Linked DNA regions of Mytilus edulis. The protein of the gene in region 1 interacts with the protein of each later gene in a pairwise test. Links are inferred from orthologs where the notes say so. Each region holds a gene or a part of one and is shown in the gene's direction. Other genes may lie near its edges. The genes, in order: epidermal growth factor receptor substrate 15-like 1, proto-oncogene tyrosine-protein kinase Src-like and rho GTPase-activating protein 26-like.

What was found.
Region 2: the proteins of epidermal growth factor receptor substrate 15-like 1 (region 1) and proto-oncogene tyrosine-protein kinase Src-like interact in a two-hybrid assay, tested with the Caenorhabditis elegans proteins (2 studies listed by BioGRID, with this or other methods). The link is inferred for Mytilus edulis from reciprocal best matches to the Caenorhabditis elegans genes ehs-1 and src-1.
Region 3: the proteins of epidermal growth factor receptor substrate 15-like 1 (region 1) and rho GTPase-activating protein 26-like interact in a two-hybrid assay, tested with the Caenorhabditis elegans proteins (2 studies listed by BioGRID). The link is inferred for Mytilus edulis from reciprocal best matches to the Caenorhabditis elegans genes ehs-1 and T04C9.1.

Annotation. Positions count from the first base shown.
Region 1 is NC_092344.1:33,435,055-33,443,423, reverse strand, and holds the start of epidermal growth factor receptor substrate 15-like 1, read left to right. Parts: upstream 1-5,187; 5' UTR 5,188-5,223; coding exon 5,224-5,250; intron 5,251-6,734; coding exon 6,735-6,779; intron 6,780-7,431; coding exon 7,432-7,521; intron 7,522-8,293; coding exon 8,294-8,369.
Region 2 is NC_092344.1:80,770,368-80,778,657, forward strand, and holds the start of proto-oncogene tyrosine-protein kinase Src-like, read left to right. Parts: upstream 1-5,117; 5' UTR 5,118-5,272; intron 5,273-8,290. UniProt on the Caenorhabditis elegans protein: Non-receptor tyrosine-protein kinase which plays a role in endoderm development by controlling spindle orientation in EMS blastomere, probably downstream of receptor mes-1.
Region 3 is NC_092351.1:29,716,620-29,724,747, forward strand, and holds the start of rho GTPase-activating protein 26-like, read left to right. Parts: upstream 1-5,073; 5' UTR 5,074-5,173; coding exon 5,174-5,327; intron 5,328-8,128. Other genes in the region: zinc finger protein 330 homolog, read right to left, coding at 1,398-1,468, 1,842-1,861, 4,891-5,004.

The DNA of each region.
Region 1 (8,369 bases):
CAATAAAAAAAAAAATCAGGAGCTTATTATGCTTCCGTAATTTCTAATTTCTCATTCAGTCAGGAATGTTCGAAGTGTCCTTTCAATATTGTATTCCGTTATCAATTAAATATAAATGGGGAAAACAAATGATAACTTGTACAGTCCTACACAAGTACTATGATAAAATACCAAAGCAGTTATATTGTTTGGTAAAAAAGTAAAACATATATCAGCTAAATAACTTAGCCTCTGTAAGAAATGTCCAAATGTTAGTACAGCTGTATTTATAAATATATATTGGCCTAATTATCAAACGGGTTGAAACAACTGGTCAACGGTTATTACTTTTTGATAGTCTTCTGATTATACTTAACGTTAAACACCAATATATATACATATATACTAGTATATATAAACAAGTCTAAATTAAAAACAATGTTCAAACCTATGATAATGATTGCGTTGGATAAAAACTAGTGTTGTCAAATCGTACACTTTTGCCTAACCGGTTACTCGGATAATCGTTCGACCGATTAACCGGTAGTTTAAGTTGATGTTTGATAGCCTTATCTATAGTACCCTACACATAGATATAAGAAGATGTGGTATGAGTGTCAATGTGGCAACCTTCTATCCAAGTCATACATTTACGCTTTTATAATACGATGAACTGAAGTTTGTCCTTTGGTGTTGTAAGGATTTTCTATGAAGATTCCTGGCGAAGTTTGACTTTTAATAATCAAATACACTGTATCAACTATGGCGTTTGTACTAACTTCAGATTGAAAAAAAACCTTCTTGATCTCGTAGAATTTAATATTGTCTGAAACTGATGTTTCTTTCACTTTGGCTTGTTGTCTCCGAAAATAATGCTTCAATTTAAAATGATTTAGCATGTTACTCGTACTATCAAGTATACATCGATTACATTCACACTGGTTTGCATATCACAATTTTTGAGTTAGCATTCCGTTTAAAGTAAGACTAGGAGATTGCAAATTCAGATGTAGGTCTACACAATATTAGATCAAAAACGAAATAATGAAGTAAATCGTAAAATTTAATCGTATTACTGATTTAAAGTTTCTGTTAAAAAAACATTTATATACTAATTATGTTTCTTTAAGAAATTGCCCCGAGCTGAGAGACAAGTTCTAATTAATTGTTTATTTTTGGATAAGCAATAGCAATCAATATACTGGACAATTGATCTGTCAACTTAATTACCAAGACGACAATTTTTAAAGAAAACATAATTGATGATTTCAATACAAATAAGTTAAAATCTATCAAAAGTGAAAAAATATCCGGTTAACCGGTTAGCGTATTTGGTATTCGGTCGTTCAAACGGTTAACCGTTGACAACACTTATAAAAACCGCAATTTTTATATAGTGTGCATGTAAAACAAATTTCGTTGTAGAGGGGTCTTAGTACGTCCAAACAAGTGACAACTCTACTAAAGATCCATTGGATGACCAGTGAAGGGGATACACGGCTTCAAACACATATTATATTCATAATTACTCTAATTATCAGCACAACAATAGTATATCCGCAAATTTGTTCATGGGTATATCGAGACAACACCGTCTGCATTCAAGACCGATCGACCACGTAGACTTAACTAACAATTCAGCTTTCGGTGGCTTAGTGTTACCTTTCCTCGTTAGTAGAATCTAGAGTTGTAACACAGTATAGTATATTAGGCATGACAATGGAATTGATTGCAGACTAGCTAAATTATCAGTCGTAAACGATAGGGAGATGCAATCACATAAATACCATCTCATATATAAAAGCACATCATGCAGAAATGCATCTAATATGTTTTTTTTCCCTAAACTAGAGTTTTTGCTTCTTTCCAAAATCAAAGTTGAGAATCTGGTAATCCATCAGATGAATGTTTCCTTCATGACAGTCTTGAACATAAAATTAGATACTGAATAAACGAATCTGTTTGACTTTCACTGTGCAACACAGTTAAACATAGAACCTTATTTAAATATTTTTGTCAGAAAACACTGTCAGACATCTTAACATATTATCCACACTTATCTACACTTGTTTAATACTTGTAAATATTATATAAAGAGAAACACCAGAGCATACTACACTTCATGCAATCGTCATCATGTTATAAAATGGTTAGTATTCGAGTAGGCAGATCTATGAAAGCTAGTTTCTTATTTTTATTAAGATAGATATGAGAAGATGTGGTATGTGTGCTAATGAAACAACTCTCCATCCAAGAAACAATTGGTAAAATTAAACCACAATAGGTCAGAGTACGGCCTTCAACACGGAGCCTTGGCTCACACCGAACAGCAGCAACAAAGCCCCACAATGACTAGTGTAAAACAATTAAAACAGGAAAACCAACGGTTTAATATATTTAAAGAACGAGAAATGAGAAACACTTGTGAACCACATCAACAAACGACAACCATGTGCAAACAAATGCAGCAGGTTTAAAGGTTATAACAGGCACTAACCTTCACACTAGCCTGAGGAAGAAGTGTAACAAAATAACATAAAAAGACACACTATAAAATACCTAAAAAAATTAGATTGAAATGGATTAACTAAAAATAAAAGACATATTTACAAAAACAAGTTAACATACAATGAACGAATAAATATTTTACAATTTAGCTCAAGATAGATTACTTACATAAGCTAAGGAAGTCAAAAGAAGTCATTTATCAACCGCATAATCGGGTGAGATAGAATATATGAAATATTGGGATCATTATAGAAAAACATTACCCCTGTGAAAAAAGTTAAAATACTGGTAGGTTTGAAGCGGTAATTGTGAGAGCAGCATTTAACTAACCAAATCAATTTTGATATATCGTATTATATTTGTATTGACTCGATCAATCTAACAAAAAAAATAAACTCACAAAAATACTGAACTTTGAGGAAGCTTCAACACGGAAATCCCTTATCAAATGACAAAATCAAAAGCTCATACGGCACACCAAACGAATGGACAAGGGTTTCCTTTTATTTTGTCTAATACTGCAGTCTGTAATTTCACATGTTTCATCATGAAAAAATACCAAAAAACCTCACATATTAGATTGTCGTTTGGTTTTTTTGTAGTATAGATTTTTTAAATTAGTAATATTTAACAAAGCCATAGTAGAATACCACTATTTAATAGTCATGAATCGATTCAACTAAAACAATCCGGGTCACACACTAATACTGAGGGAAAGACATCAAATATATAAGAAGGAAAAAACAGAACATCAAAAATGCATAATTGTTGAATTATACCATTTACATGCAAACAATTGTATAACCGCATTCAAAGCGGTGGGTCATGTAGGCTCAGGAGCCTGTAATTCAGTGGTTGTCGTTTGTTTATGTGTTACATATTTGTTTTTCGTTCATTTTTTTTACATAAATAAGGCCGTTAGTTTTCTCGTTTGAATTGTTTTACATTGTCTTATCGGGGCCTATTATAGCTGACTATGCGGTATGGGCTTTGTTCATTGTTGAAGGCCGTACGGTGACCTATAGTTGTTAATGTCTGTGTCATTTTGGTCTTTTGTGGATAGTTGTCTCATTGGCAATCATACCACATCTTCTTTTTTATATTGCTTGGTTTAAACGCCTGTGAGTAATATGATCGTATAAAAGTTCAAATGCAGAGCACATAAAATTAAAATTAAAAAAAACTGAAAATTCAAAAATGGGGAGTTCCTAATCAAATTGACTAAATCAAAATCTCAAACACATCAAACGAATGGATAACAACTGTCACATTCCTGACTTGGTACAGGTATATTCTAATATAGAAAATGGTGGATTAAACCTGGTGTCATGACAAGCTAAACCTCACACTTGTTTGACAGTCGTATACAAATTCCATTATATTGACACCAATGTGGGAACAAAAACAAACAACCATAATAGGTATAATGCCAAAAATTTTAATTTCTAACATCTTGGAACAATCAATGATTTTTTTAAATTATATAAATTATTCGTTCTTAAAGCATGCTATTTAAGTATACATTTGTCACTTTTATAAAACAAAAATGAACTATTTTATTTACTCTGTCTTTCAGTCAAAAACGAGTAACACGTGTGTAAAGGTATTGAGGTCAATTTGTTTAACCATCTTAAGTTTATACAGTAGATATGTGATATACATGAACTTTGCACATCTTCAGGGGCGGATCCAGCCATTTCAAAAAGGGGGTCCCAATCTAGAGTAAAAAGGGGGGTTCCAACTATGAGCTCCCATCCAAATGCATTGATCGTCCAAAAAAAGGGGTTCCAACCCCCGGAACCCCCCCCCCCTGGACCCGCCACTGATCGTATCTCTCTTATACCTTCCTATTTCTTTGACAAGCCGTTTGGTGAGCGGCCGATGGTTGCCATCGCTGCCTGAATGAAATCTACGTCTCTGTGACCAATTAAAAATACCAATTAACCACAGTTTAACTTGAAAAAAATAATCAGTAAAAAATAGTTTCAATGAACCAGATGCAGATCGAGAATTTAAAATAAAGGGGACCGGCGACAACTGGCAACATTTGGAGTGCAAGTTGTAAAAAGTCTTTGCATTAAAGTATATAATCATGATGTAGCTCAATATCTTGAGGACCTGGGCCGGCTCTGCTCCTTAAATCCGCCATTGTGGACCACATTCTGTACATGCTGTACTATAATTAAATCAAACTGCTGCCTGGCATATAGTCTATCTGACTCTCAAAAGTTTGCTTTTGTTTTAATTTCTGACATTAAATAATTACATTTTGGACGTAACACTTCTTTTATAAACTGACATAATTTTGGTCATGTGATCATGACATCATCAACGTTTTTTCATGATTTACTCCCCTAAAATGTAATTGAGAATTACGTAGTAAGCAATAACTGTAAAATTATTTTTTTATTCTCAAAATAATATAAAAGAAGTGGTGCAAACTGTTAATTAACCTAACTTTTAGTTTAGACTGGACTATTAGTGCTACGCTGTTATTCGGTGTGTACCACAGTTTTAGGTAACTTTTTCATAGATAGAAAATAAATGTTACAGTAAATCCTCGAATAACTGAGATTGCCAAGAACACAAATTCTCTAATTGTATCAATCGGTCTTGCTAAGATTTACAGTTTACTAGGAACACGAATTTGAATCTAATTCACCCGGAAATTCCAGTTGGACCGATACTGTTTTTTCACATAAAAATTAGACAGCACACGAACATTTCCGGTTAAGGATGTCAAATTTTCCACCACTTCCACAGGTTTGAAACTCTGTTATTCATTAAAAGGCGATACTTTTCGCCATTATGCACACTTTGTCGTAAACAATTAAGCAAATAGTAAGAAAATGTATTTCAATGGTCGAGTCGTTTATCATATTTTGCACTAGACAATTGACCTCAAGTACACGCAAATTATAACTCCTTCTGGGCGTAAGATATAATTGTTCTTTCTTCTTGTGTATTTGATTCTTTCTAAATAAGTTTAATTGTTAAAGAATCTTACTAAAACAAACTTAGCTGCCATACATTATATCCCAACACACAATTTTTTTCTGATACTACATTGTACTATTATTTGATCATGTCCCCTTCTAGTTTGATCACTTAACACATATTTTACACTTTAGTACAGAGTTCGACTTGTAACAAAGAAGAAGAATAAGTTCATATAGTACATCTTTGTTTGCTTTTCTCAAATTTTAGTCCAACAAAGCTAGATGTGCAAATTTGCATTTGCATGATTAGCATAAAGCAGGATTTGAACGATTCAATGTTTGTTCTCCCTTGTGCCTATTCCACCACATACCCGTTTGCCCTTGGTTCTGTTTGCCTGAATATCGTATTTATATTATTTAGATTTCATGGATGTCTTGTTGTTTAATTTAAAATATTTAAAAAAAAATATATGTTGAAGTTTGATGAAAATATTGTCATGATTGTAATGCTGCTACCAGATATAAATTATGTTTTCCGTCACAAGGTGACTAATATGATTAGTTCATTTGAAAAAACCTTTTTGATTTTCAAAAAAATGTATATATTCTTCATTTTGTTTTTTAATATTTACCATACAAATATCTGAATAAGTTTATAAACCTTTCTACAATCAATATTTAATTATTTTTTCTTCGTAAAAGTACATGGCAAATGAACCCAGGTCTAACTGACTCTATGGGTAAACTTGTTATCATGGTTATCTAGCCGAATGAACCAGCTTATACTCATTTGAACCTCTGCATATCTGATACATTGTGGTATTACTGTTTCCAGCACCAAACACCACTTAACTAACTTGGCTATATAAAAATACAGCTTTCATTAGTCAAGTATTACCTTTCCTTGTCGGCTTTATGTTGGGTTGTAACACTGAATATGAGATACATTGTATAGTCAAGTACTGCCAGATCGTATACCTTGCAGATCAGCTGTTTTTTTATCTGTCCAAAGGATGTTAATTTTACTCACATCATATTATAATTTTTACATGTACATGTATATTCATGTTTTTTAATTCTAACATGTAAAAAAAAAAGGTAAGAAGTATGTAAGCAAGATAACAAAAATTTATGAAGGTTTGTTAGATGAAGATGACCGTTCATAAGACAAAGATCTTGATGCTGAATGAGCAATACAGGCTCTTTTGAAACTTCTAGTACTCTACATATGTAAGAAAAAAAAAATTGATAACACAATTTATAGTTTGAATTTCATTTATTGATACTGTGTATTTTTAAAAATTTCAGATTGCTGGTAACCATGCATTAGTTTATGAAGCATATTATAATCAGGTATTGTTTAATGTTAGATCACTACATCAGATACATGTACTATTACTTAGCAAAGCACTATTTTAAAGTGATGTATACAAATGTAGCTAAGCAACAGAATTATATAAATGGGAGTGTAAAAGACCTTGACTGGCTATACAGCTCTTGCATGGTGGGTTATCAGAATTAAAGATAAAAACATAAGATTATACATATGTATGCATGTGCTGTACAACACGTAACTTAATCAGGCAGTGTTAAAAACTTGACAAATAGAGACCTACATAAATTGACATTGATTAATATTTCAGTTCATAAAAGGAAGAAATGTGCGAAAATAACTTTCTTTTTCGTTTCCTGTTCTGGTAATAGAAGATACAGTTTGTTTGAAATGCACTATGAATAAACAATTAAGGGGTGATAACTCTGTAATTTGCTTCATTCTAACCAAAACTTATCTGTCATGTCTGTAGTTCTTTTGAATTATCAGACATACAGAAACAAAAGACATACTATTTCTAGCTCAGGATGATGGTTTGTTCAGAATAGCATGGTAAGGTTGGTCATTTTTTTCTGACCATGTTTTGATATTTATTTGAATTGCCTCGTTTTTAAAAAGACTCGCTCTTGAAAGTATATTTGTAAATAATTATATATTTTTATGTATTTATAGGCTGATCCAAAAGGAACAGGGAGCATAGGAGCTTTAGATGCTGCAAATTTCTTGAAGAAATCTGGACTCAAAGACTCAGTTTTGGGACAGGTATTGTAATTTTTATCTGCAAAAAGTAAATGATTGTTCTTTAAATCCATCATGCTCAATACAATTTAACTGTCTTTTGGTATAAAAATTAGCTGATTTATCTTATATATTGTAGTATTTCTTGCAGCTTTTAGATTTTAGAAAATTAGATAAAATGGCTGTTATTGAATTTTGTGTGTAAAGGGAAAAAAACAAAAAAATGCATTTTAGTAATGACCACAAAGAACAATAAGACACTCAACCTCTAATTTCCTCCTGTAGAAATATAGGATTTGATGGTTTGCTATAATTCTGAATAGTTTATAAAAGAGAGAATGAAACTGCTAATTACTGCACATCAATATGCAACTAGCCACAGAGCTTTAGAAGAAAACATTACAGAACCTTAACAGGTTCAAGCCGAACAGACTAGCAATATGGTTATATAGTTTTCTGAGTACATTTATTTATGAGATTGGGGATAGTTGTGATTGGTGGTATACATGTACCTGGTAGAAAATGTTGTTCAATCAAAATGTGAGCCATTATAGATGACATGCAATGAGTACAAAATTGGTAAATAGATATAAAAAAGATATGGTATGACTTCCAATTCTCCATCCAAGTCACATTTTGTAAAAGAAAACCATTTTAGGTTAAAAAAAAAAAACGGCCTTCAACATGGAGACTTGGCTCACACCAAACAGCAAGCTATGAAGCTCATTTGATAAGAAATCATTTGCAAGTATTTGATGAAGTTTGTATGATAAGAATAAATTTTATGCTTTTGCAGATATGGGATTTGTCAGATCCAACCGGAAAAGGATACTTAGAGAAACCAGGCTTTTATGTTGCTTTAAAGTTGGTTG
Region 2 (8,290 bases), about 47 Mb from region 1:
ACCATTTCCTTTCTCAATTTTATTAAATTAATTCCTGTTATCTTTGGACATGACGGAAGTTGTTACCGAGGGGATTTCAAAGCTAGTGTCCTGCGTTTTTATGATAACTTGAATGATGAGATTTACAGGAATGGCACATTTTTGATAAGTCATTTCTTTTCAAAGTCAATTAAGAGTTTGGTAAGATTTAGTAGGTTACTGAACATTTATTCTAACTTTCATTTTTTATGAAGTTCAAACACACAACTAACAGGAAGCAGACGCATATAATACATTATAGTAGTATATATTTCTCTGCAGAGAATGACAAAAAAATAAATGCATCTATGTGAAGCGATTTATGTTGAAGAACTTAACTAGAGACATAGATACTAAAATGTGTTTCTGGCTTAACTGAACTTGAAAATTGCATCTGTTGTTTAGATGAATTTTAATCAGTAGCGTGTTTTTTTGACGACCCATCGTTCCATCGAAATAGATGTTTCAAATGTATTTCAATGATAGTAACTTTTGAAAATAAACTGCATGTACTTAAAAACATATATATTTTATACTTTATGTTTTAGTACTGCAAGTTCATGAATGTTGATAATTCCATGAATGTGTCTTCAAGTTCAATGGCATCTATGAAAGGGCACTGCATGGTTTCTCTACTCTTCCTCTGTGTGGAATGTGAAAATATTAAAAAATATTTACTACAGAAAATTAAAAACACAAGAAAAAGACCAACAATACATACAAAAATGAAAATGACAAAAATCATAATCGAATATACTCCAAACGGATTGAGATCAGTTCTCGTATGCACGCATTAACCGCCACATCTAATTCCAAAGAAAACATAGTAGAATGATCCATGTAAACTTGTCGCTCCTTTAAATAAACTTATTCTAAAAGGTTACCTATTCAACACTGTAATAAGATCATTAAATATTGTTTTTATTGGTATAAATATTGATTTTGTTATCAGTAAATTAAAAGCTAACTAAATATTACTAGTATGTTATATACATATACATATTCATGGAGCTACAATCTGTCGATACCTGTAACTTGGCATTGCACAAGGTCATGTTTTTCTCTGGCTGTTTATGACGTCTTTACACTAAATCCATTGGATGTTGGATGTGTACGGATTGATAGTTTAGTCTTAGATGACCCCTCTTAGATGCATGATTTTTTATTAGTTGTTAGTGGCTTTGAACTAGCTGTCAGATAACTGCGAGTACTCTCAGATCTGTTCATTGCGTCTTTTTGTGTCGGGATGTATAAGTACCCGGCCACGTCTACTTGTATGTTTGCCCATCTTATGGGTTAAGCCTTTTTCAACTGATTTTTATAGTTCGTTCTTATGTTGCACTGTCCCAGGTTAGGGGGAGGGTTGGGATCCCGCTAACATGTTTAACCCCGCCACTTTATTTATGTATGTGCCTGTCTCAAGTCAGGAGCCTGTAATTCAGTGGTTGTCGTTTGTTTATGTGTTACATATTTGTTTTTCGTTCATTTTTTTACATAAATAAGGCCGTTAGTTTTCTCGTTTGAATTGTTTTACATTGTCTTGTCGGGGCCTATTATAGCTGACTATGCGGTATGGGCTTTGCTCATTGTTGAAGGCCGTACGGTGACCATTAGTTGTTAATGTCTTGTGTCATTTTGGTCTCTTGTGGATAGTTGTCTCATTGACAATCATACCACATCTTCTTTTTTATAGTAGAAAGTGTAGAACCTAGGAAATACAACAAGCAGGTCGTAATGCCAGATTGCAACAATGACAGTTTTTCCGAATTTTTGTTGTACGTTCGTCTGTGTACCTTTGATATGACACTGACTGACCAGAATCAAAAGTTGATTGAGATCAAATTAATTTAAGTTGCAACATTGAAGTTCGTGTTACTGTCACTATAGTCAGGAACTTCATTGGTGATTGTATCCCTCGCTCAGTATTTCATGATGTCTCAATACATTTGTCACTTAGGATAATGGGGCTGGAGATCAGATGCTGATAATCGCTGTTATTGACAGCTTTGTTAAAAACGTAGTCATTTTCTGATCCGCCATTGTTATCATGACTAAAATACAATTGTACTGACACTAGTGTTCTTTCAATATTTTATGTGTGTATCTTTTATTTGATACTTTATTCGTACTTTTAACTTTTGGTAAAATTTCTCATACGTCTGAATGATGATTTTTGAAACTTGCAGAAAAATATAAGAATGGTATCATAAATAATGAATTTTAACAACTAAAATAACCTACAATTTGAAATTACATCAAAGAATGCACAGAAATCCTCCTGAGGGTACGTAATCTGTTTTAAAGTTTTGTTGTTTTAAATAGCTAGATATATCTGTCGACTCATTTTCCATGTTTCACCGTTGAAAGTTCAAACAATTATATTTGTACAGCTGTATTTTGTTTCGTTTCGTTTAAAAATAAGGAGATGTGGTATGATTGTTAAATGAGACAAATATTCACCAAGTTCAAATAAAGTGGTTGAAAGAAATAACAGGCAACCGTACGACATTCAACAGTGAGAAAAACCCATATACTGTACAGTAAGCTATAAAAGGCCTCGACATGAAAAATATGAAACAATTGAATTGAGGAAATTAACGGCCTAATTTATACCATGCAAAAACAACTTAAAAAATGATCAAATATGACAAGACAAGAACCAATGAAAACCACTGAATTACAGGCTCCTGACTTGGGACAGGCAGTGACGGTACATAATATATGTGGCGGACTTAAACATGTTTGCAATGCACGCTCAACCATCTCCCCAAACTTGGGACGGTGGTGTAACAGCACAACATGCGAAAAAAAACTATAAGTTGAAAAAGTCTTAACTCGTCGGTACAAAGCATTTAAAACATCAAACATAAACAGGGAGTATAGAAAGTCCCTGACATAAATAAAGACTGGAATGAGTAGGGTATATGTATCCATCCCTCGTCCCTACCGACAAAAAAAATACAGTTACTGCACTTGTTTCGATTGCGATGGCGAAGACTCTCGGAAACAGACAGGGGTCTAAAAGGTTACAAGGATGGGTTCCAACCATATGTCCACCACTCAAAGGCATTGATCGTCAAAAAAAGATAGGTTCCATCCCCACGGACCCCCACCCTCGATCCACCACTGAGAGAGATGTTTGTCATCAAGCACGGATCATCATTATCATGCGACAAGTTCATACGGTAATGAGTGTTTCAGCTCTAGATGTTCCTAATTATGCATAAAACGTATCATGGAAAAGATGACCAAAGAAGGACTGGCTTTTTACTATACAAATCTTTAATCAATCTATGCCATTTTAACCACAGGGACTCGGTTAGCAGATTTTTTTTTAATCTATGTTTTTTCAGAGACATATAACACTAAAGTATTATATGTCTCTGTTTTTGTCGAGCCTTCGACTTTAGTCGAAAAAGCGAGACATAGCGATCCTACATTTCGTCGGCGTCGGTGTCGTCGCGTCGGCGGCGTCCACAAATATTCACTCTGTGGTTGAAGTTTTTGAAATTTTAATTACTTTCTTAAACTGTACTGGATTTCTACCAAACTTGGACAGAAGCTTGTTTATGATCATAAGATAGTATCCAGAAGTAAATTTTATAAAAAATAAAATTCCATTTTTTCCGTATTTTAATTTTAAATGGACTTAGTTTTTTTGCCGGGAAACATAACATTCACTCTGTGGTTAAAGTTTTTAAAATTTTAATAACTTTCTTAAACTATCCTGGGTTTGTACCAAACTTGGACAGAAGCTTGTTTATGATCATAAGATAGTATTCAGAAGTAAATTTTGTAAAAATAAAATTCCGTTTTTTTCCGTATTTTACTTTTAAATGGACTTAGTTTTTTTGCTCGGAAACATTACATTCACTCTGTGGTTAAAGTTTTCAAAATTTTAATAACTTTCTTATACTATTTTTAATGTGTATCAAACTTGGACAGAAACGTGTTTATGATCTTAAAATAGTATCCAGAAGTAAATTTTGTAAAAAGAATAATCCTTTTTTCCGTATTTTACTTTTAAATGGATTTAGTTTTTTTGCAGGGAAACATTACATTCACTCGGTGGTTAAAGTTTTTAAAATGTTAATAACTTTCTTACACTATTTTTAATTTGTACCAAACTTAGACAGAAGCTTGTTTATGATCAACAGCTATTGTCTAGAAGGAAATTTTGTACCTGTGTATCTGTATTTTACTTATTTATAAATGAACTTAGTTTTTCTTCCAGTTAACATAACATATAGTCTGCAGTTAAAGTTTTTAAAAATATTTTTTATTGATTTTTTTCTCATTATTGTTGAGCATGTGATTTACAGCAAAAGTAAGCGAGACACTGGGTTCCGCGGAACCCTTACGAATTTTTTTCAATCTTTTTTTTCGTATTTCCTGTATTACATTATTAACGTTTTTAACGTTGACATCAATACTTGTTTGTTTTCTAGCCATGTGCAGTTTACTATCAATATCTGTAACGTGAGGGTACCCAAATTTCACCTATTATAACAGTTGACAAAAGTTTTCATTATGTGATTATTTTGTATCATTATTTACTATACAACAGAAAAATTGGTCTGAACTGACCTCCAAACCATTAATGATTCTGTAATGAGAGTATCCAAATTGCATCCATGCTTAAATTCGCATCGTCAAAAGTCAAATCATGAATAATAGAATAATACTGAAAAAACATAGATTAGAAAAAATATCTGCTAACCGAGTCCCTGTGCAAGTGACCGGTTACATAATATATCCATTCCTTAAATCTGTTATTTTGTTTAAAACAAGCTATTTTCTTGTAATTTTATTGCATTATAACGACTTTAAATAAAGCTTCACAGTGGCGGATCCAGAAATTTTCATAAGTGGCGGGGGCCCACTGTCGGACCTCAGATAAGAGCGGGCCCGCTCCAGTCACACTTCAATGATTCCCTATGATATAAGCAACCATTTTTTTCCCCAAAAAGTGGGGCCCGGGCCCCCTGTCCCCCCTAAATCCGCCTCTGCTTTATGGTTTTGTGTCTTCTGTCTATTCATATTTGAATTGTAGCGCGGAAAAAACTCGCACCTGCTAAAATTAAGAGTTATTTCCCCTTAGTAAAGATAAGTACCACAAACAATCGAAAAGATACAGATATATATAGTTTTACTTCCTAGTTAAAGTTTCACCCACTTTGGTAAAGTTCTTCCTGTTATTTTTCTGTTTATTAATGAAGAGGGTTTTATTTGGCGAACTTTAAAAAGACCTAAGGTAAGAAAGAGAGTACTTTCAATATGTTTTCACACTTGTCTCTGATGTCAGATCACGATATAAACATAAATGAACTTTCTTTTTATACACATCAGTGGTACATTACCTGTTGATTTCCCAGGTAGGGACTTCCCCAATACTTTGAAATGAATTGACATTGCGCAAATAAAATAGATTTTTATAGAGACCCTGAGAATATGCCACAGCCGTACTGGTGCATTCTGAGACTACTATAACACATTATAGTAGTCTCAGGTGCATTTGATATTTAAAGCCTGTAGAAACTTTGCACTAGTTTAAGTTAGCTGACTAGGCCTGAAAGAATTATTCATCAGCTTGAGCTTATGTACAAAAAAAAAAAACTTGTTGGCTAAGATATGAAAATTGACAGAGTGTTAGTGTAGTCTTATAAACACATACTAGAAATAACAACTCTGCCAGTCTCTGGCCTGACATTGTTCATGTTGTTCTCTTTAATAATCTAAAAAGCTTAAATCACACATTGTGACTTTATATTACTGTTCAATGTACAATTCAGAGCTTACACTTGTAATTGTGGTGCATATATATATATACTGACTTCAGATTTATGTCCTTGATATTAAACTATTCCTCATTAAAATTGTCTAAACATTAGATCAATTGAGATCATGTGATTCATGAATGGCTGGAAATTTGTAAACACATTTATTTAATTGCAACAGCAATCAGATATTGTTCAGGATGCTTTACCATTTATCCTGTTTTTAATCTGATTCTGATCCAAATTGTATCCTTTGCATGATAAAAAAAGTCTGAACTTGTCTGGATTGTGCACCCACTCTTCCGAATGTTGCTGACAGAGATCAGATAGTGACAGTCGGTGAGCTTAACAGAAAACTGTTACGATTTTTATCAGATACTGCAGAATCTATTACAATAGACCCCTTTCAAGATATGTACTTCACAGGAAAAGTTTGTTGATAAGCACAACTTGATGAGATCATTTATTAAATATAGGGGACTGCGCTGTGTCCATGCACTTTTAAAGTTTATCAAGTGTCCTTAAGCATCTTTGTTATCGTCATTATGGTGTGTAAGTGGTCATGCATGTACATGTAGCTTTGCTAAATATTTGTATATATATTTTAATATGGAGCACCATTCTGTTTAATCTTGTATAAGTGACCACACTAGTACTTGAAACCTTAAATGATTTTCTCATGCCCAACACAAACATAAATAGTACGAAAACTCCCATTGAAGATCTAGAACTGAATGCCATGTTAATGGTAACTAATGTGTCCCTAATTGTCTGCTGCTAACTCAAAACATTTTCTCAGTGTACTGTAGATACTCGGTCCGTGTAACACTTATCAATTCAAAGTTATAAAAAGTTTTGAAATTTTAGATTTTTGGAATTTTGATCAAAGTTTTAAAATATCAAAATTTCAAATTGTGTTAAAGTTTTGAAATTTTGAAATTTTAACCAAATTATTAAAATATCAAAACTCTAAATATCGTTTATAAATTTGATATTTTAGAAACTTGATCAAACTTTTAAAATACTAAACCTAACGTGCAATTTTGATTATTTCACTTTTTGAAAGTTTAATTTTTTAAATGTTTGCTTAAAATATCAAAAATATAAAGGGGCGACAAGAGGGGTACCTGTAATCACTGATGTAAGCACTATTCTTAGTTATAAATAAATAGCATGAAATATTTCAAATCATTCTTAATAACAAAATGAATAATGAAAAGAAGAAGTCGGTTTTTTTTTAATGAAATATATTAGACATCACATGGGATAACAGTATCCTGAAATTTTAAGGTTGTGCATCTATCAAAAAAAAATATAATTAAACCTATCTAAACCGGAATCAACTACGTTGATTTAAATCTCTTATATAAGGTTTAGCGTTTGAGATAAATAATTCAAAGCTATTTTGTGTTCCCAGTGCCCAACATTTAGAAGTAATTTTGACGTGTTAGTTTTCATAGTTAAAGATTGGTTGCTCAAAAATCTTTCAGCATGCATGTTTCAATCAAGAAGTAAGGGTTCTTAGGATAAAGTTGATGTGTTTAAGTTGATGTCTATGTTTAACGTTTCCTCCAGTGCAAAGACAATGGTATACAGTTGAGTGGGAATCGTGTCATGTCAGGTAGATCACACATCTACGAGTTGTTCTAGTGGTTAGCTACTGAAGAAGTAACGGTTATAATTGTGGTTTTTAAATGGCATGGCCAGAGGCAATACCCGGATAGAGTTTGGGACTGAAAAATGTCCAATTGATGTAGATGTGCTCAATTGTGTTCGATAAATGCGGGGACGCATTTCCTGGAGGCATGGGTGATGTGATGAACTTGGTTCACCTGTTTTATTTTACTAGTGTTCTTCTTTTTATTTCTTTTATCAAGCTGAAACTTTGTTATACGAACTCGTTATGTTTGAAAGTTTTGTTTTTGGTTTTGTTTGTTTACATTGCTATGGATATTTATAATATTTAGAATCAGTAACGGACCGGTCGTGGTTAGCATACCCGGAAATATTCAGATCGGAAGTCGTAAACATAAGGGCCGTCATTCAAACGTTTTAGCATTAAGGGTTAGGTTATTATAAACACTCATATGAATAAGACATATGGTATCGTCCAAATTAAATGGTATGGTCCAAAACCTTAGTATATAAGCTGATGTGCTGTCAATTTAACATGCACTCCAAAATTATTGTATCATGGGGAGTGTTATGCCGATTAACGTCCGAGGGCTGTATCCTAGGCTGTTGGGTGATACGACTTTCATTTCACTGCCTCACGGCTTTGGTCCTGATAACGCTTCCTGTCATCTTTCGAACTACGTCCGAGATCATCTACCAGTACTCCATCATCGAGGCTAGCGGGCTGCCAAGCTGACCAAACTGGCCCTGAAAGCAGCCGTTAGTGAAGAATAAACAACAAAATAGTAAACAAACCAAAAACAACTCACCAAAACCAAGATGGCGGCCTACATATTGCGACCTCCACTACTTGTTCCTGA
Region 3 (8,128 bases), on another chromosome or scaffold:
ACTCATCATGGTTAGCTCACATACCAAAAATTAGCCCAATATCTGAAAGCATTTAGAAAAAAGGTCCAAATAACTGTGATTTTCAAAAATTTATCTAAGTCTAAACATATGCATATTTTTTTTTAACTTGAAATATCATATAACTTTATAACTACATGTATGGCATCAATAATCAATTAAACATGTTAAACCAATTAAGGCCAGGATTTGGATTGTTGGTTTAACGATTCGCCAAGGTGATTTTGCTGATTTGCAAAATAAAAATAAAATTTACTTTTTCTCGCTTTTTTGTTCCCTCCGACCCAAAAAGCAATATCTCTCAAAAATAAATAAAATATCCTTTTTTAATCAAATGAAATGCATTAAACACTAACCGAATTGATAAAACTTTCTGTTGTGAAAACTGAAACTTCCAATTTATGTATCTAAAAATAGACAAATCAATAATAACTGACCTTGAAATGTCGTTTGCGCAAATAATTTTGCGGAACGAAACCTGTGTTTAAAGCCTTTACACATTATGTTCGTTTCCCGTATTTGTCTTCATTCCGTAAGATAGAAAATGGAAAATGAACTTGTCCAACCGTGGAAGACGGCAAGTTAAAGAACTTAATTAAAACATATCCTTTGGAATTTCCTTCAGACTTTTGTCATTGATAATTTAAAAAATATCCATTAAGATATAAAAAACGGGAATGCATGACAACTGATGAACCCAATATACTCGGTTTTTTTCCAGTGGAAGAGTCTATTACGTTTTTGACATGTGTGTTTAAACTTATTTTCGTACTATGTATTTGCATTTTTTTTTTTATCAGTTTTCGTGTTTAAAGATCATTAATCACTAAGTTTCGTGAAATTTGTTTACGGCTACGTTTGTAATATGACGATTTAATTTCGTCTTTGTCCATGGATACAACCCCCCTTTTTTCACAGAAAATTATTAGACAATGTCATGCGATGTTTATGGCAGCTGATTAATAATATTTCATCGATCCAGTATAAGAAATGATGATAAAATAGCATATTGTTAGAAAGGTAAAATGTATTTTTTTTTGCATATTTTTCTGTCTTGGGATATCTTTTTCCTTCTTCTATCCGACTGACTGACTCGACTTTTTCATGGGGAAATCCGTAAACCAACACATTAAAAAACCCTGGCCTAACATATGAAAGAGTTGTGAGAGTAAAACAAAAACAAGGAATGGATTTAAAGGAAGCTTTATAAAAAATTATAATTGAGAGAAAATGTGTTGCATTTTTCATTTCCCTGTATTAAAGTATGCTTTCAACCTCAATGGGAAAATGAACTAAAATAAATGTTATGTAGGCCCTGATGAGCTTATATAACAAAAATACACATATCAAAACACTTATCTGTCAACAAATCAACATACCACACTGTCCACAAACAGGAAGTCTCTGAAGTGTGTTACAAAAATAACAAAATGCTCGGTTCTTCTGTTGCCTGTGAGGAAGGAAAAAAATTTAACTATAAAAACTGATGCATTATAAATATATATATCGTAAAAGGGTTTTTTTTTTTGCTTTGGCGTTGACTTCTGTTTCCTGCTAATGTCTTAACTCTATTGGAAAGTCAGAGATGTAGAAAAGAACTTGAAAGCATGTGTAGATTGCAGCTTTACAAATATCATTTCATCAGAAAAGGATGAATCAACACAACATTTGATAGTACAAGTCACATCATGTTAACTACAAAGCTAATCAAGATTTAATATATAAAAATTTACTTGTTACAGTACTTGCTCACTTATTACATGTATTACATGTATTTTAAGTTATCAAATCTTCTTTTCTTTATTATGTTTATGTTTACTTACTTTTTACACGAATCACATTCCTGAAACAAAAGAACATGATTGTTAATACATTACTTCTCTTGGCAAGAGATTTTCAATAACTAATTTATAAACAGAATTTTTAATTTCCTGACCTTATAATTCCTATCAGCACATACATGTCAATTTCTGCAATCAATCTATGGAATGAGTTGCCAAATCATTGCAAAACTGAAACATCTTTTACTCAATTCAAAAGTCCAATATAAACCTTGTTTGAATGGCAACTCATGCCAATACAATGTTATGTTCTTAACATTTAAGTTTAAGGTTACAGAATTGAAACACATAAGTGCTGTACACAGGGCTGTAACTACATTGAGGCAAATGCCTCATGTTGGAAATTTCAAAAAAAAAAACAAAAAAAAACCAAAACAAAAGATTGTCTTCATATCAAATTGTTTTCACGGAAAGTGTCTTGCAAGACACAAGTTCTCTTTACTCTCAGATGTCGCCCTTGTATGTTTATCGTGGTCCATGTTTCTATCTTATTTTTAGTTTTCAGAGTTGATGGTCTATTGTCATGATTGTTTGTACTTCTGTGTCCCGGGTTTGTCTTTTGTTCATTTATTGTCCTACTTTATGACTATATAGATATAGGAAGCTGTGGTGTGAGGTCCAATGAGACAACTCTCCATCCAAATAGTCTGAGTGTTGATTTTCATTTGTAAACGTGTGGTTTTGCAATGTTGCATGTCAACCAATGTCCAGACATTGTACGAAAAAATATTTTAAGAATATTTACGATGCTACTGGACACAAAAAAATATGGTCGTTTCTGCATGGAGAATTGAACTTGATATCAAAGAATACAAAACTTGCTCTTTTTGTTGTAGATAAAACTAGATAGCTGACATAGTTTAAATTAAAGTAAGACCACCAATTTCTCGGTATCAAATCATCTATAAAAACATCAATGTATTGCCATATGATCTTTTACATTAAAGGGTTAAACTTGCATTAAGTCGTGTTCAGACCCTTTAACAGAAAATAAAAGAAGATGGAGTAAATGGGCACGGGACCTAATCTCACACAAAATTAATGCATAGAAAAAATACAAATGATTAATGGTCAAAGTTTGTATTCTTGTTCTTCATCTTGATAGTTTCTGGAGGGTCTTCAACAATAAAAGAATCATTAATACCGTAAAACAAGGTCAAGATGATCCTTAGTGTCGACTTAAGCAGTACTAGTACTTAAAGTATACTACTGCACTGTCACTATATATAAATCTAGTCACAAAAAAAATCACCAAAGTCTAAGAACAATACGAGACAAAGAACAGACAGACAGACGCGATTTTAATGATTGTGAGAATTACTATTTTTGCTTTATCCTTCATATCGGTCTACTTTTAATGTTGTCCCCGTAAAAGTCTTAAATTACAATGAATCTATGTTTTTGCCTTGAGACCAGAATATTGTCAAAAAAAACGCTAAAAATAAATTGCGTTTCAATGTAAGAAAGAGTCCGGGAAACGCTCAGAATGCACGATTTTGCTTTATTTTTCTCATAGCTTCTGGGGGCCTTGAGCGGCCCCCAGAACCCTTCGCCAAAATTTTTCGCCTCGCTACGCTCGGTGAATATATTTAGCCTCACTATTAAAAGAGGCTAGTTACGGCCCTGGTACATGTTTACCTCAAATACACCAATATCATGTTTTATCGCGCCAAATTTATACTTGTATTGTCACCTTGTTCATATTCCTTTGAGACGGCTTTGACATTAAATTTGGGTCTTTGTTGACTACCAAACTTTCTTCCCAGAATTCTGTATCAGAGGATGTTCAAGGCATTTCCTCAGAAATTCCTTGTATCAATATTATTATTTTATCGTGACCAACAAACAAAGTAATGTTTTTCAATTACAAATCAACAATTTACTGTAGACACCTTTACAAAATTAACAAACAAACTAGGCCAAAGAACATTTTTTTTTTTACAAGAACAGTTAGGTCCTTTAACATGTTTTCTGGAAACAAATACTATATATTAACAAAAAAGGCCCTTGGGGTTTTCAATAGAAATTGCCCTTGGGGTTTTCAATAGAAATTATAACAAGTATACTTGAAAGATTATAATTTGAGAAAATTTCTCGTCTGTACTAGCAAACTTTCACATAGATTTTTACTGTCCATACTGTTGTGCATTAGTTTTTTTCTACATTGACTAGAGGTATAGAGGGAGGATTGAGATCTCAAAAAACATGTTTAATCCCGCTGCATTTTTGGGCCTGTCCAAAGTCAGGAGCCTCTGGCCTTTGTTAGTCATGTATCATTTTTAATCTAAGATGCTTGGGTGTATAATTCAGAGTTTAGTATGACGTCCATTATCACTGAACTAGTATACAAATTTTCTTAGGTGCCAGCTGAAGGACGCCTCAAGGTGCAGGAGTTTCTCGCTGCATTGAAGACCCATTGGTGGCCTGCAGCTGTTGTCTGCTCTATGGTCGTGTTGTTGTCTCTTTGACACATTCCCCATTTCCATTCTCAATTTTATTTCACATAATACATGTGATAAAGTTATTTCCTTTGAAAATTAAGATCATGTCTGATGTTTAATTACGTTTTTTCTTTAATCAGATATAGCACATGCTGCATGAAAACACCTGAGACTGCCCAAAAATGTAGTCAATACAACAGTTTTGAACACAAATATGTCACCACAAAGGTGATCGGAAATATATTTTTCAATTTCTAAATGTAATGATATGATGCGAATAATATTTGTGTACCACAACGCTGCTGATATTTGTTACTCTATGCACCATTTTTGGTCATAAATTATATATGTAGTTTACACATACATTTGTAGCGGTGACTGAACATGTAAGTCATGATGAAATTATGTGCACAGAAATAAGATTGAATACTTAATGGAGTAAAAAACACTGTATATTAAGCATCAATTGTACTACAAATAAAAAATATGGTTCTTAAACAAAGTCAAAGATAAGCTAGATTAGAAATCACCACCCTCCCCCTTTCTTTATGAAATCTTGCTTTATTCATATAGATCTGAAGACTTTGTACCATAATGTAGTTGCATGGCCTTTCAACAAGTGATTTCTCTTGTGTTCTTATTTCTCTCTGTCTTTCTCTCTGCTTTTCCGCTTTTTTTCTTTGACCAGTTTTTTTCTTTGGCATTTTGTCTTTGACACTTGCACATGTGTATACCGGAAATAAAAAAATAATTTCTGAATGAATTGTACGCATGCGTTTTAAAACAGGAAGTAGCTATAATGTAGCTGTCAAAAATCACTCGGCCCCCCAAAAAGCTAAACATTTTGTTTCAAGGTGATACACAAATCTGAAAATGGGTCTTGAACCCCTTGAATTTGCGGAGTGTTTAACTGACAGTCCTGGTTTTCGTGAAAAACTTCACGATCATGAGAAAGAACTTGAGAGAACTAGCAAGGCTATCAAAGCCTTGATTGGTGATGGTAAAGAAGTCTTAGCAGCATCAAAAAGTATGTATTATGTGACGTCTAAATTAGGTTTCAAAAGAGAGAAGTGTCTCTGTTGTATGAAGTCAATTTAACATTAACGAAATGAAATAGTTTCTTTATATTCACAGATATATACAAATTATGTCTATTAATATTATGTAGCCCATTAGTCTTTAGACTTAGGCTTGGTAATTACAAAGAGGGTGGTTAAGGGTTATTTTTGTGCAACGTGATCACCGTTTTTTAATTGACGTTCAACATGTTTTTACTTTTTTATTTGACGTTCAGTCGTGCAAGACGGGTGCCTCGTTCAAAGTGTTCTGCTTATTTAATTTTACGTGCATCGTGATTTTCAAAGTCTTATTTTGCGTGCTCGGTATTTTTCAAATAAAATTCAAACACTTGGCAGGGATCGTCAAGAAATACTTTTTTAAAAGCCGTAAACCAATAATATCATAAATGTGTATACTAAATCGGGAATATCAAGTAAAACAAAGAGTTAACATATACAAGAAGACAGTGACTCAGTCACAAAAGGTTCAAATAAAAGTATTTATTTTTCGTGCAACGTTCAATACAGAAATTATTTCACGTTCAACGTGAAATTATGTCTTATTTCATGTTTTTGACGTGCAAGCATCCCCCCTTTACCACCCTCTACAAAAAATGTATAAAAGTTAACATCATCTATCAGTCATAACTTTGTAGCTTTGGAGTTGTTTGGCCATACATTGTAAGTCGATTCAGCTTTACAATTTGTTATTAAACTTCAATAGTGATTAAATAAGTGTCAATTATAAAGGAGGGTCATAATACACCTTATAAATTGCTAACCAGGCTGACCCCAGAATCGGACCCACTCGAACTTTTGTCGTCATACAACAATCACTTTTCCATTGTGGGTTTTGTTGTATTTTAATGTCAAAATTTTTCAGGAACCTGTGTGATGTCCAGTAATCTGGTAATCATGGTAATGGCGGAAAATTAGCAATAAGGTGTATGAGGGTTAACTTCATGACGAATAACAATAATAATTCATGCAAAATGGTGTTAATAGTATTTTTGTGGTGCATGTCAATAAAACGTACACTTTCTTTTAGAAGATGAAAAAAATAGACTGATTAAGTTATGTTTAGATACATGTAAATCACTTTAATTTTTCCTAAAATAACAGTAATGATAATTTTTTGAGACCTCTGAAGAATCTAGGTAAAATTTAACCAAATCGATGATAATGGTAGCTGTAAATTACTATTTGATGCCTACAATGGTTAAGGGATTTCCTATCCTTAGAAAGGTGTATGTCTAAGGCCAACTAAAATTAATTAGTAGATTTTCATCCAAATTTTTGAAAATAATGGGGCGGGTGGGAGGATTTTATTTTTTAAATTTTATTTCATATGAAACCCTTTTGTGACGAGTTCTTCGTATATGCAAGTGTAATAATAAGCTTGTATCATGTATACACAAGTATGAGGAATCTTACATAATATTTCAAATCCTTAAATAAATATATCTAATTGCGGCTTTAAAAACTTTTAAACAACAAAAACGTGTGAGAAATACTCTCTTCAGTTAGACTACCTACACAAAATGTATTTGGGTTTCTAAACAATGGTTTGTATTACCATAAAATGAAGCAAATGCATTGGTATGCAACACAATTATTATGAGTACAGAATAAAATGAAAGCTCAGAGAGTGTTGAAAATAATAGGGTTGGTACTTTATATGCAAGATGAAAATATAATTATCATGTAAAACATGAACTTAATAATTAAAAAAAAGTTGTTGTTTAATGAGTCTTTTTGGCTGTATTGTGACATTTGTCAACATAAAAAGACAGCCATGGGTAAAATCAAAGGGCTTGCATAAATAAAATGCGTATGTTAGTCGACTTTTTAAATTCAATAAACGGTCATAAATCTGACAAGTTCGTGCTTGTGTTTCAATATCTATAATTCAGTCATGTTTTCTGTATCAATGGTTTCCACGAATCTTGTGCTTTGGGTATCATTTACAGTTTAAATTTCCTGAGACAAAGTCATTGCATAAATAAAAAAAGTCAGCAGTTTTCTTATCACAGAAATGTGTGACATACTGCGATTTGCAGTCTTGGAAACAGCGTTTTTCTCGTAACACCAATATTTCATTGTCATTCTCGTTATCAATCTTTACTCTCGGAAGATGATGTTGTCATCATAGAACAGCGGAAAGGTAGACTTAATCATTTTGGTTAGATTACTCGAGGTACAAAACCGAAATTTGAAACAGGAAGCATTGAATGAAACGAAATTTTAACGGTTACCGGTAACGGGAATGAACAAAATCCGGAAATCGTAAATTTTATAAAATAAAAAAATTCGGGGCGGGGCGATTTCAGAGGGGCGGGCGGGGATGAAAATCTATCAATTAATTTTAATTGGCCTAATAATAAACCAATCAAATTGTTATTGAATCTAATCATTGTTTGTCAAAACAAGAATTTTTTAGTCTTTCAACTCGACAGAGTATTATTTTTTTTTAAACTAGGTTCCAAACCCTAATTCCTTAAAGCGTCATTGTTTATTTTTTCCAGGCTTTTACCATATTTTGGTTGCATTTAGAACTTGTGAAACTGCATCTGTAAATTGTAAATAGTTTCATTTACATTGTATGTAGAACAATGTAGAATTTTGCTTAAAATCAGGATTTCTTAAAATTTCATCTAATGTTAATTCATGTACATGGCCAAAGTAGCACAAAAATGTAGACAAAACAACAACATGAACAAAGGCTATGTGGCTCTGCGGCAGAAATGTCTGGTTTCCCATTAAGCATACA